Linked DNA regions of Drosophila melanogaster. The protein of the gene in region 1 interacts with the protein of each later gene in a biochemical or structural test. Each region holds a gene or a part of one and is shown in the gene's direction. Other genes may lie near its edges.

Region 1 (4,885 bases):
GTCCATTTCGTAAACCAAATAGGTTGGCCTCGGTTTCATGATATGATCCAATAGGAAAGCTCGCCGATAACCATTTTTAGTGCGGGTGGCCGCAAAGAAGATGGATTTCTGCTCGGGGAAGGGCAGCGTGAATGGCTGTCTTGGCTTCTCGGCTATGCGGTTGTTTAAGTCTGCGTTGACATGGCCCATCACGTTGATCTGGAGTAGGGCCAGCTGCGGTTCGTTATGCTTTGGATTTGCCTTAAAGACCCGGATGACTTTGACTTCTGGATTAAGCTGCAGCATCTCCAAGGGCAAACTTAGTGGTATTATCATCTTGGGCTTTAGATGGACGTGATAAGCTCCGTCGCTGGTTTTGGTTCCCAACATACGGAGCGTCAAGTTCTTAATGTCCTGAACTCCAGTGTTCGTGGGCAATTGAACACGGAAAGCGAACGCCTTGCTTTCGGCCATCTTGGGCACAATGGTGTAGATATCCCGAAACGGTGTAGCTACTATCTGACCGTGGTCAATCATACGGACATTGGCTTCTTGCTTCTTTTGGCAAACCGTCAAAACATGACCGCGATGGACCTTGTCGCCCACACTGATGGCCACGAGGGTGTCCTCCCGCACTCCTTCCATACGAATCATCTTCTTATTCTGCATGCAGCGCTGCATGTTGACCGTCATTCGCTCAATGGCCTCCACATTCGCCACGTGCACCACCCAAATGGGTCCATCGTTCTCCATGAAAGTCACGCGGCACTTGAAAAACTCCATGCCCGACGGCAGCAAATGTTTGCGCCAGTTTTCCGATAGATCCGGCTTGTTCGGCACAGCAACTGTGGGCTCCACACATGGGATTGGCGATTTAGTGCGAGTTTTAGCCAGAGCAACTTGGTTCTCTACGCTCTGGATTGGATTCAACGCCGGTTGAAGAGGCCGGCACTCCACCAAGGGTCTGGAAACGCATTTGTATTGTATAAGAATTAAAAACCCCTAACTTAATGCACTGCTGCGCAACGGATTTACTAATTTAACTCACGGCATAATGATGCACACCTGCCTGTGCCTCTGCCAATCCAATTTCTGGCACTTTTCATTGCAGTACGGTTCTCCACACCGCTGGCACATCAATCTGGTCGGAGTGCCACAGACGACGCATGTCTTTTCCTCCGACTTTTCCATTTCTTCAATTCAAAGTAACAACGCAAGAACGTGTGAATGAAAGAACGGCGCGTTAAAGGAAACGCAGCAAAATGGCGCTAACAGAACTTTTAGCACGCGATGAAATACAAAGTGAAAATCTATTTACGCTGGACGAGAACTTTCTATGTTTTCGTTTTGAAAAAGGTGGAATCCTTTAGAATTTAAGTGCGCGATTCACAACTCACAAACATGCGATACGTTCACTAAACGCGTTTAAATTCGAAGCTCGCTGGGCACGCGCTTCAGTGCATTGAACGAACGTGGGAAGAAAGAGAACAGGACGATATCGATATCGGTTGGTTTTCGATTTACAGCGCACTGATGGAAGTAAACTTGATCGTTAATTAAAAAAGGAAAAATAAGGCTTACGAAGTTTTTAAACTTTAATTAAAACGACACAACATATGCTAAATATTCTACATATTCCAGTTACAATCAATTTCGCCAAGCCATTTTCATGGAAGTTGAATACTCTTTGAACCTGTTTGAATATATCTGAAAACGCAAATCTACTTTGTGTTATTATTTTGCCAATATAGGCAATATTATTTGAAAATTAACCGCAAGTCCATTGACGACCGCAATTCAGAATAAGAACGTAGCGTAATTTTCCCATCTTCAAATATTGTTTTTCCTAAACTTACCGATTTTAACACTTTTTAGTTTTAAAAACGTTTGTGGTTAATCCGCAAGGAATTTGTGACAGTGAAAAAATAACCGCTTTGTACGCGCACGTGTTGCCAACAAACACTTCAGCTTTTGTCAGTGACTGGATTCTAATTTAAATTTATCGATAACGTATGCAATTCTTATTCGAACAATATAGTTATTTCTAAAAACTGTGTCACGGAATTTCTTTTTGTAATTATTACCTATATAAATATATATTTATACAAATATTTATAACATTTGTGTTTTAATTGTCATGCCCCTTTAGTTTTTTTTACGCTAGAAACTTAGCTACTTCCTAGGTCGAGAGCTGGCCACACTCTTGGCATGTCTTAGTTATCGATAATTCCCGCCACTTCTGAGCATTGAGTATATTTTGCGAACTATTTGTTTACCAATTGAATATTTTGATAATCAGGGCCCCCAGTGAAGTGGCAAGCGTCATGAGTGCCAGCAACAAAGGCGGTTACAAGACGCCGCGGAAGGAGAACCTCATGTCCATTGAGAACCTCACCAATTCGGAGGAGGAATCCGAGGACTTGAACACGGCAATGGTTGGGAATGCAGTGGAATCTCAGCCCAAGGTCACCAGTCGGCGTTCCACCCGACGTCCAAGTCCCACCAAGAAATACCAGGCGTACCAGAAGGAAAGCAATGGAAAAGGCCAGGAAGAGCGAATTGTTGTGAACTATGTGGAAATGTCCGATGAACGGAGCAGCGATGCGGAGGATCAGGAAGAAGAAGAAAGCATCGAGGAGTCGGAAAATGCTGCCCGTCCCGCTGCCAAGGATCTGCATCTCATCCAATCCGAGTACAATGTGGCCGGCACCAGCATGTTTGGCTTCAATACGCCCAAGAAACGCGATGCCATGGCACTGGCCGCCCTAAATGCCACGCCCTGCACGCCCAAGACCCCAAAAACGCCGCGTTTGGGTGTCAAGACGCCGGATACGAAGCGCAAGAAGTCCATGGATCAGCCAAAGACTCCCGCCCATGTGCGCACCCGCGTCAAGAAGCGTGGGTAGCCTTTTTCTGCGTCCTTTTACCATTTTTTCCATTATTTATAAATTCATTATCACTTTCAGAGATTGCCAAAATAGTGGCCGACTCAGATGAGGATTTTTCTGGAGATGAAAGCGATTTCCGGCCCAGTGACGAGGAATCCTCCTCCAGCAGCAGTAGCAGCGATGCTGGCAACTCCTCTGACAACGACGCCGCCGATGATGAGCCCAAAACGCCCAGTAGAGCCCGCCGTGCCATTGTAGTCCCCGTTCTGCCGAAAACTCCATCGGCAGCCCGCCTGCGACAATCGGCGAGGGCGAAAAAATCGAATGAGTTTGTGCCCGAGAGCGATGGTTACTTTCACTCGCATGCCAGCAGCAAGATCCTCACTTCGGATCACACCTTGGATCGCCTAAAGAATCCTCGCCTGGCCGCCGATCGTGTTTTCAGTTTGCTGTCGGAAATCAAGACATCGGCGGAGCATGAGGGTTCTATTAATGCCATTATGGAGGAGTATCGATCGTACTTTCCCAAGTGGATGTGTATTCTGAACGAAGGCTTCAATATACTTCTATATGGATTGGGCTCCAAGCACCAGCTGCTGCAGTCATTCCATCGGGAAGTTTTGCATAAGCAAACGGTATTGGTGGTGAATGGCTTCTTTCCCAGTCTGACCATCAAGGATATGCTGGATAGCATCACAAGCGACATATTAGATGCGGGCATTAGTCCGGCTAATCCACATGAAGCAGTGGATATGATCGAGGAGGAGTTCGCACTGATACCGGAAACACATTTGTTCTTAATCGTCCATAATCTGGATGGAGCCATGCTTCGCAATGTGAAGGCACAGGCGATTCTTTCGCGCCTGGCGCGCATACCGAACATTCATCTACTGGCCTCCATTGATCACATAAATACCCCACTGTGTGAGTGCACCGATGCTTTGAGATCTTTATAGTGCGACAGCAAAACTAATTATTGTTTACGAATTTGCAGTGTGGGACCAGGGAAAGCTGTGCAGCTTCAACTTCTCGTGGTGGGACTGCACAACAATGCTGCCATATACGAACGAAACTGCGTTCGAGAACTCGCTGCTGGTGCAGAATTCCGGCGAATTGGCCCTCTCCTCGATGCGCAGTGTCTTCTCATCGCTAACGACCAATTCGCGTGGCATTTACATGCTGATTGTTAAGTATCAATTGAAGAACAAGGGCAATGCCACATACCAGGGCATGCCGTTCAGGGATCTCTATTCGAGTTGTCGCGAAGCATTTTTGGTCAGCTCAGATCTGGCACTGCGTGCCCAGCTCACCGAGTTCCTCGACCACAAGCTGGTCAAATCGAAACGGAGCGTTGATGGCTCCGAACAGCTAACCATTCCCATTGATGGCGCACTGCTGCAGCAGTTTCTCGAGGAGCAGGAGAAGAAATAGGCCATCGGCGTAATTTTAGAACATATTAATTTATTATCTAATATTGTTAAATACAATTACAATTTCGCTTTTTAAAAATGTTGTGTTGCTGTCACTTGTATTGCCCATGATGAGTGCGCAGTGTTTGTTTTCGCTCTTTTTTATTTTTTTGTCAATTTCTACACATTAAGATTGGCATGCATAAAATTTGTCGCTTTGCTCGAAGATACACATTCTAGGATGGCTAGTTTTTTTCCTCAGCTCCAGTTGCGAGCATATAGCAACACAAAACTTCACAAAGCACTGCAAGTGCTCGACGACTGCGGGGATGAGAGCGCATTTGGATACGATTTTAAGGATCAGAAGAGGCGAACTAAACATAGCTAAGCATGCCAAAAATGATAAGACTCACTACCGCCTGACCATTCCGTGCTCCTCATCCATTCCAAAGGCTAATATCGGTTACCTATTCACTATACAGACACGCACATACACAGATTAAAGCGTTGGACTTGTAACTAGTTAATTGTGCACTCGAAACGAAATGTAATTGCTGCGACTAAGGCTAGTTTATTTACACTTTCTTGATAGCAAATCACATGCGAAGT
Region 2 (5,593 bases), 6.8 Mb from region 1:
GCGACATGAGTACCGATCGAAGTGGCTGAAGGATTCGGTGAGGTCGTCATCAAGCATACGGCCCGTGGCCCGGAATGATTAATGTGCCATAAATGTGCGCGCCAAAAACATTCACAGCTAGAGCCTAAGCACGCGAAAAATAAACGCAGAGGCGAAAGCAAATTAAAATACGGATTTTTATGGCACTTTTTTTATTGCAACACGTAAAACACAAATTGAGACAAGATGGAGTGGAGTGTAAGCGAATTGCGTGCGCCTGCCACAAGCAATTACAATTACAATTTTAAATGCAACGCACATAAAATGCACGGAATGTCTTTTTAAACGATAAGGGTCCGCAATTACATGGCAAATCTCGCACTCCGGAATTAACTCAGTTGTAGCCCAACATTTTAACATACCACAATGCTAAACGGAATGCATGGCGATATGCTCTCATTCAAATTGGCTGCTATTTTGGTCACATTATCGTTAATGACTCTAGGAAGTAGGCATTGCATTTAAATCTCGCTGATCCCCGCCTTTATTCTCAAAGACCCTTCTCCTCTGGCCAGCAGTTCAAGAAAATGATCGAGTGCAAGACCAGTAAACCGAGAAGATAGTCGAGAGCAATTCAACTGGCTGGGCAGGATTAGGTACACCAGGTCAGCTGGTTGGGTGTGGTATCCCTGCTCCGGAGTGGCCGTAACCATGTCCTTGTGCCTGCTCACTGTGTTATATTCCTGGATAAGGGCGATGCCTACAGCTTTATGTTTGGAAACAGAAGTCGCCTTTTTTATTCACCCAGAGTATCGTTCCGTCTTACGATGTTGCCGTCCTTAAACTGAACTCCCAACTGAGATCCTGTTTGTCTGTATCGGAGGATACAGATTCCCATGACGTGATCGCCCGACTATTCAATGTGGTCAGTACGCTGGTGGATAAGCATCCGAAAAGCCTTCATACCCTGGCCAGAGTCACGAGTGCGTGCGTACACCAGGATAAAGATTTCCTAACTGGTGCAGCTCTATTTGGGATGAAAATTGTAGATGGATCTGAAGCTTGGCATCTTTTGTGAATATCAACGCACGGCCAGTACGAAAGAAACCACAAGATACCAATAATTGGATTGGGAACCATCTTAGTCTATAACTAAGTGTCCGGAAGAAATGTAAAAATGATTGAAAATAGTAGATAAATGGCATTTACTAATCATTAAATTCAGAACAAAGTTTCATTCAAAGTTAAAGAGTCCTCTTCACACATATTGTATGTACATACTTAACTAAATACCTGTTGGAAAAGTAGATTGCATTGCGACAATAAGAAACACCTTCACACTTTATCTGCAAGAGGTTATTGTTCTCAGTGTGCAAAATCATTGTGATTTCCTCGATCGGAAAATACTTTGTTGTGAGCGAGATGACAGTAAGCGAGGTTCTACTGGTTATACTGGTTATGCGTAAGTGATGTAACCCAATTACTTTATTATGCTTATCTACCAATTTTCTTTATTTATACTTATAAGCCACTGGTATAATCACTGAAGTTCAGCGCTGTGGAAGACCGTTGGAAAATCAGCTTTACAACGACAAAACATTCGCGGAACAGGATGAGCATCCTTGGCTGGGACGTATACTCTTCAGGGATGGAAATCAATTTACCACCTGCTATCGCTGCACCGTCGTACTGCTCAATCCGCGTCGTGGCCTAGCGCCAGCTCTCTGCGTGGATGGAAGGACCAAAGACCCTTATTCTAGTGTCTTTGGAAGGACCATCCGCGGAGCTCCTTTGCATCCAGACGCTATCCTGGCAGGAGTTCGCCTAGTAAATGGGGAACCGAGACAGTACTATATTATCCGGCAGCTCTTGGCCAAATTTGATTCGGTTTTTTCAGGAGCAGATCTTTTCATGTACATCGCACCCTACATTAATTGGATAGAGGCGAGAATCAACGTATTAAACGAACGTCACATTTCATTAAAAACATATATTTAATTAGTTAAAAGAGTAAATTTAGAAACCATTAAGAAACTGCATAAATACGATTTTTGCTTTAACTTTATTTATCAATTTTAAATGTCTTGATCCAACTGTGATAGGCATTAACGGGTCTCAACGGTTAATTTTATTTTTTATTTTAAAAGTTTTGTGCAAAGAAGAAAACAATACATTTAAAATAGGGGTAGTCAACCTTAGAGCTGTCACATCGCAGAACAATCGATTAAGGAATTCTTATCGATATGTGGCGCTGCTGTGCGACTTATCGGCGGTTGCATGAGAATGGCTAGCATCACCAAAGAAGAAGAATTTCCCTCCAAAATATTAGTTTATTTTGCCAACATCGATCTCAAGGATTGTTTACGAGGTTATGACCACCATTCTAGATAACTTTCAACGCGCCGAAAAGATTGGCGAGGGCACCTACGGTATAGTTTACAAAGCGCGTAGCAACTCCACCGGCCAGGATGTGGCCCTCAAAAAGATTCGGCTAGAAGGGTGCGTAATCCAGGTGGAGCAGGACTGTGATGCTGTTCATGGCAACCATAGGAAATATTATGTGACATATGGACATATTATCCTTGACGAATGTCATCCACCTGCACCCCGCAGCCCGAATTATGTGGGAGCTGCGCCGTTTCCGTAATCCGTAGCACCACATGATTCGGCTTCGTGGTACAGGATATCATCGGTTTTTGCTAGCAAACGGGTAATCACGATTGCCAGTATTTAGCTTTATTTAATAGCATAATTCCGATTCACAGCGAAACGGAGGGTGTTCCTTCGACGGCCATTCGAGAGATCTCCCTGCTGAAGAACCTTAAGCACCCAAATGTGGTCCAACTATTTGACGTAGTCATTTCCGGCAACAATCTGTACATGATATTCGAGTACCTGAACATGGATCTAAAGAAGCTGATGGATAAGAAAAAAGACGTGTTCACCCCTCAGTTGATAAAGGTAAGTACACTAGTTTGCAGCCCATTAAAATATTTTCACATTGCCACTTTGCAGAGCTATATGCATCAGATATTAGATGCCGTCGGCTTTTGCCACACGAATCGTATCCTGCATCGCGATCTCAAGCCCCAGAACCTTCTCGTAGACACGGCGGGCAAAATAAAGGTGAGACTAAAGGTTTTACCCGCTGTTGGTTCTGTGATAATAACGAATTCCAACTCCAGTTGGCTGACTTTGGCCTAGCAAGGGCCTTCAACGTGCCTATGCGGGCGTACACACACGAAGTCGTCACCCTCTGGTACCGAGCTCCAGAGATTCTGTTGGGCACGAAATTCTACTCCACGGGCGTGGACATCTGGAGTCTAGGCTGCATTTTCTCTGAAATGGTAGTGTTATATGGAATGTACATTCCAAGCGGATCTGATTACTAAACCTAGAATTACAGATTATGCGCCGCTCCTTGTTTCCTGGAGACAGCGAGATCGATCAACTTTATAGGATTTTCCGTACCTTAAGCACACCTGATGAAACAAATTGGCCTGGTGTGACGCAGCTGCCAGACTTTAAGACCAAGTTCCCTAGATGGGAGGGAACTAACATGCCACAACCCATAACCGAACACGAGGCGCACGAACTCATAATGGTGAGTGCAGAAAATGTACATCCCCAATGGAAATCCACTACTCTGTACCTTACAGTCAATGCTGTGCTATGATCCCAACCTGCGCATCTCAGCCAAGGACGCACTGCAGCACGCTTACTTCCGCAATGTGCAGCATGTTGACCATGTAGCCCTGCCTGTAGATCCCAATGCCGGCAGCGCTTCGCGTCTAACGCGGCTCGTCTGATCGTGTCCAATAGCCCCAGATCTAGCAAATTACTTGTGTTTTCTAGTATAGTAAGTTCGATGTCTATCTCACTATCTTTAAGGCGAAACTAGTAAAATTATTTGAATATCTAATCTATTTTACAGCTGCCACCTCATTATCATGCATTCCCCATCCTAACTCGCACGTAACATACGATAAATACACGATCATCCATAAGTAAAGAGTTTATAGTTTATAGCTTAGCATGGATTACCAGGAGCTCAGCCGGGCAAGGTGTCGTTGATGATGGCGTGGCGAAACTTTGGCGGCGGAATCGTTAGCCCCTGCTGCATCGCTAGCGAGTCTCTGGCGCTGGCGGGTGTGGCTATCGTCGCGCATATACGTGCCAAGAGTATTGCGCATGCTCTCGGAGAGCGGTGAATGGGCTTCGACATCACCATCGTCGTCATCGCTAGTCGGTGCATCGCTCGGTGCGCTGCTGTCTGTTTCCTCTGCTGCATCTTCATTCTCAATGGGATGCTCCGGTTTGCTGACTTCTAATAGCTTCGTCAATGATTGGCCCTTGGCCGACAATAGGGGCAGTGGTCGAAGTAGGGTCACCTTTCTGGTTCCGAGTCTTCTCATTACGGGCGCCTCTTCCTCATGCTCGCCTTCCACATCCTCTGCCTCCCTAGGCGGCGGAATAAAAAGCTGCCGTAAAAATTAGATTGGAAATCCTGAGGACTGAAGCGCTGTACTCCGTAGTAGCTACCGGAATTGGTGTCGTAGAAGAACATCGGCTCGGCGGACCGCGGCGGAGAAGGTGGCACAAAGTAGGGATCGTAAGGGCTGTAGGCATCATCGTTCTCCGCCGAGTCGTAGCTCGGTCGGCGCTTTTGTTGCTTGCGGCGCTTTCGCTTGCGTTTTTTGGTAGCCTGTGAGGCCACTTGAGCTGGTTCCTCAAGCTGCAGCTCCTGATCTTCATCGTAGGACTGCAGATAAACCGGCGACGTCTCGATGATGTTCGTACTGCCATCGTTAAAGAAGTTGGCCAACGGATTGGTCAGGTTACGGAAACTGAAAGCGGGCTGAACACTGCGGACGAAGCTATTCCAAACACGAACCAACGGGCGTTCAGTTGTTGTAGGAGCTGCTTTTCCCAGACTATGAATATAGCGCCTTCTGTATCCACCACGAGCACTCGGCAACAGGACATACTCGATGGGATAGTTTCTGGAGCTAGAATAAAAATTTCGTTCAAAGTTTAACTTTAAAATGTCATAGTTATACTTTTTTCAACTCAAATATAATTGTTTTATAAAAAAATGTATCCTATATAAGCATATAGTTGTTTGAATTGTTTATGTGATATCTATAATATGCAATAATAATCTACTATGAATTATTGGATTAAATAAGGTTCAGAAAATACCAAAAAGTGGTTATATAAATGTCATATCTGTCGAAAATCAAAACTTCATTGTTAGTCGTCAACGTTTGCTCACCCAATCTTTGCCTGCTTTTGCGGCAAGCGTCGCTCCATCTCGTTTGCGGATATCCTTACTCCTTGCGAAGGACAACTCCATGCTACAAAAAGCACTAGGGCAGTAAACAATTGCCACTGCATTGCTGTATACAATATGTTCGTCGGGCTTACTATATAGTATTTCGAATGCGTCCGTTACCGTTCCCGGTCGAAGGGAAACTGAAACTCATCCGAATCGCGAAATCAGTGGTCAACAGCTCGACGGTGATGCCTTTGTCTTTTTGACCAGCTCGTTGGATTAGTTTTTATTGGTTCACAGAACGGTTAGCCACAGTCTTAGCCAAATTGATTTGTAATG

What was found.
Region 2: of the proteins of Orc2 (region 1) and Cdk2, one has a biochemical effect on the other in vitro, tested with the Drosophila melanogaster proteins (one study listed by BioGRID).

The regions. Positions count from the first base shown.
Region 1 is NT_033777.3:13,962,705-13,967,589, forward strand, and holds Orc2 (origin recognition complex subunit 2), read left to right. Parts: upstream 1-2,180; 5' UTR 2,181-2,229; intron 2,230-2,287; 5' UTR 2,288-2,303; coding exon 2,304-2,877; intron 2,878-2,945; coding exon 2,946-3,791; intron 3,792-3,861; coding exon 3,862-4,298; 3' UTR 4,299-4,371; downstream 4,372-4,885. Other genes in the region: Kots (kotsubu), read right to left, coding at 1-943, 1,028-1,170. UniProt on the Drosophila melanogaster protein: Component of the origin recognition complex (ORC) that binds origins of replication. DNA-binding is ATP-dependent, however specific DNA sequences that define origins of replication have not been identified so far.
Region 2 is NT_033777.3:20,733,347-20,738,939, forward strand, and holds Cdk2 (Cyclin-dependent kinase 2), read left to right. Parts: upstream 1-2,276; 5' UTR 2,277-2,350; coding exon 2,351-2,478; intron 2,479-2,576; exon of another isoform or gene 2,577-2,666; intron 2,667-2,744; coding exon 2,745-2,940; intron 2,941-2,994; coding exon 2,995-3,105; intron 3,106-3,164; coding exon 3,165-3,326; intron 3,327-3,385; coding exon 3,386-3,583; intron 3,584-3,638; coding exon 3,639-3,788; 3' UTR 3,789-3,838; exon of another isoform or gene 3,839-3,913; 3' UTR 3,914-4,019; coding exon of another isoform or gene 4,020-4,988; 3' UTR 4,989-5,068; downstream 5,069-5,593. UniProt on the Drosophila melanogaster protein: Like Cdk1, could play a key role in the control of the eukaryotic cell cycle.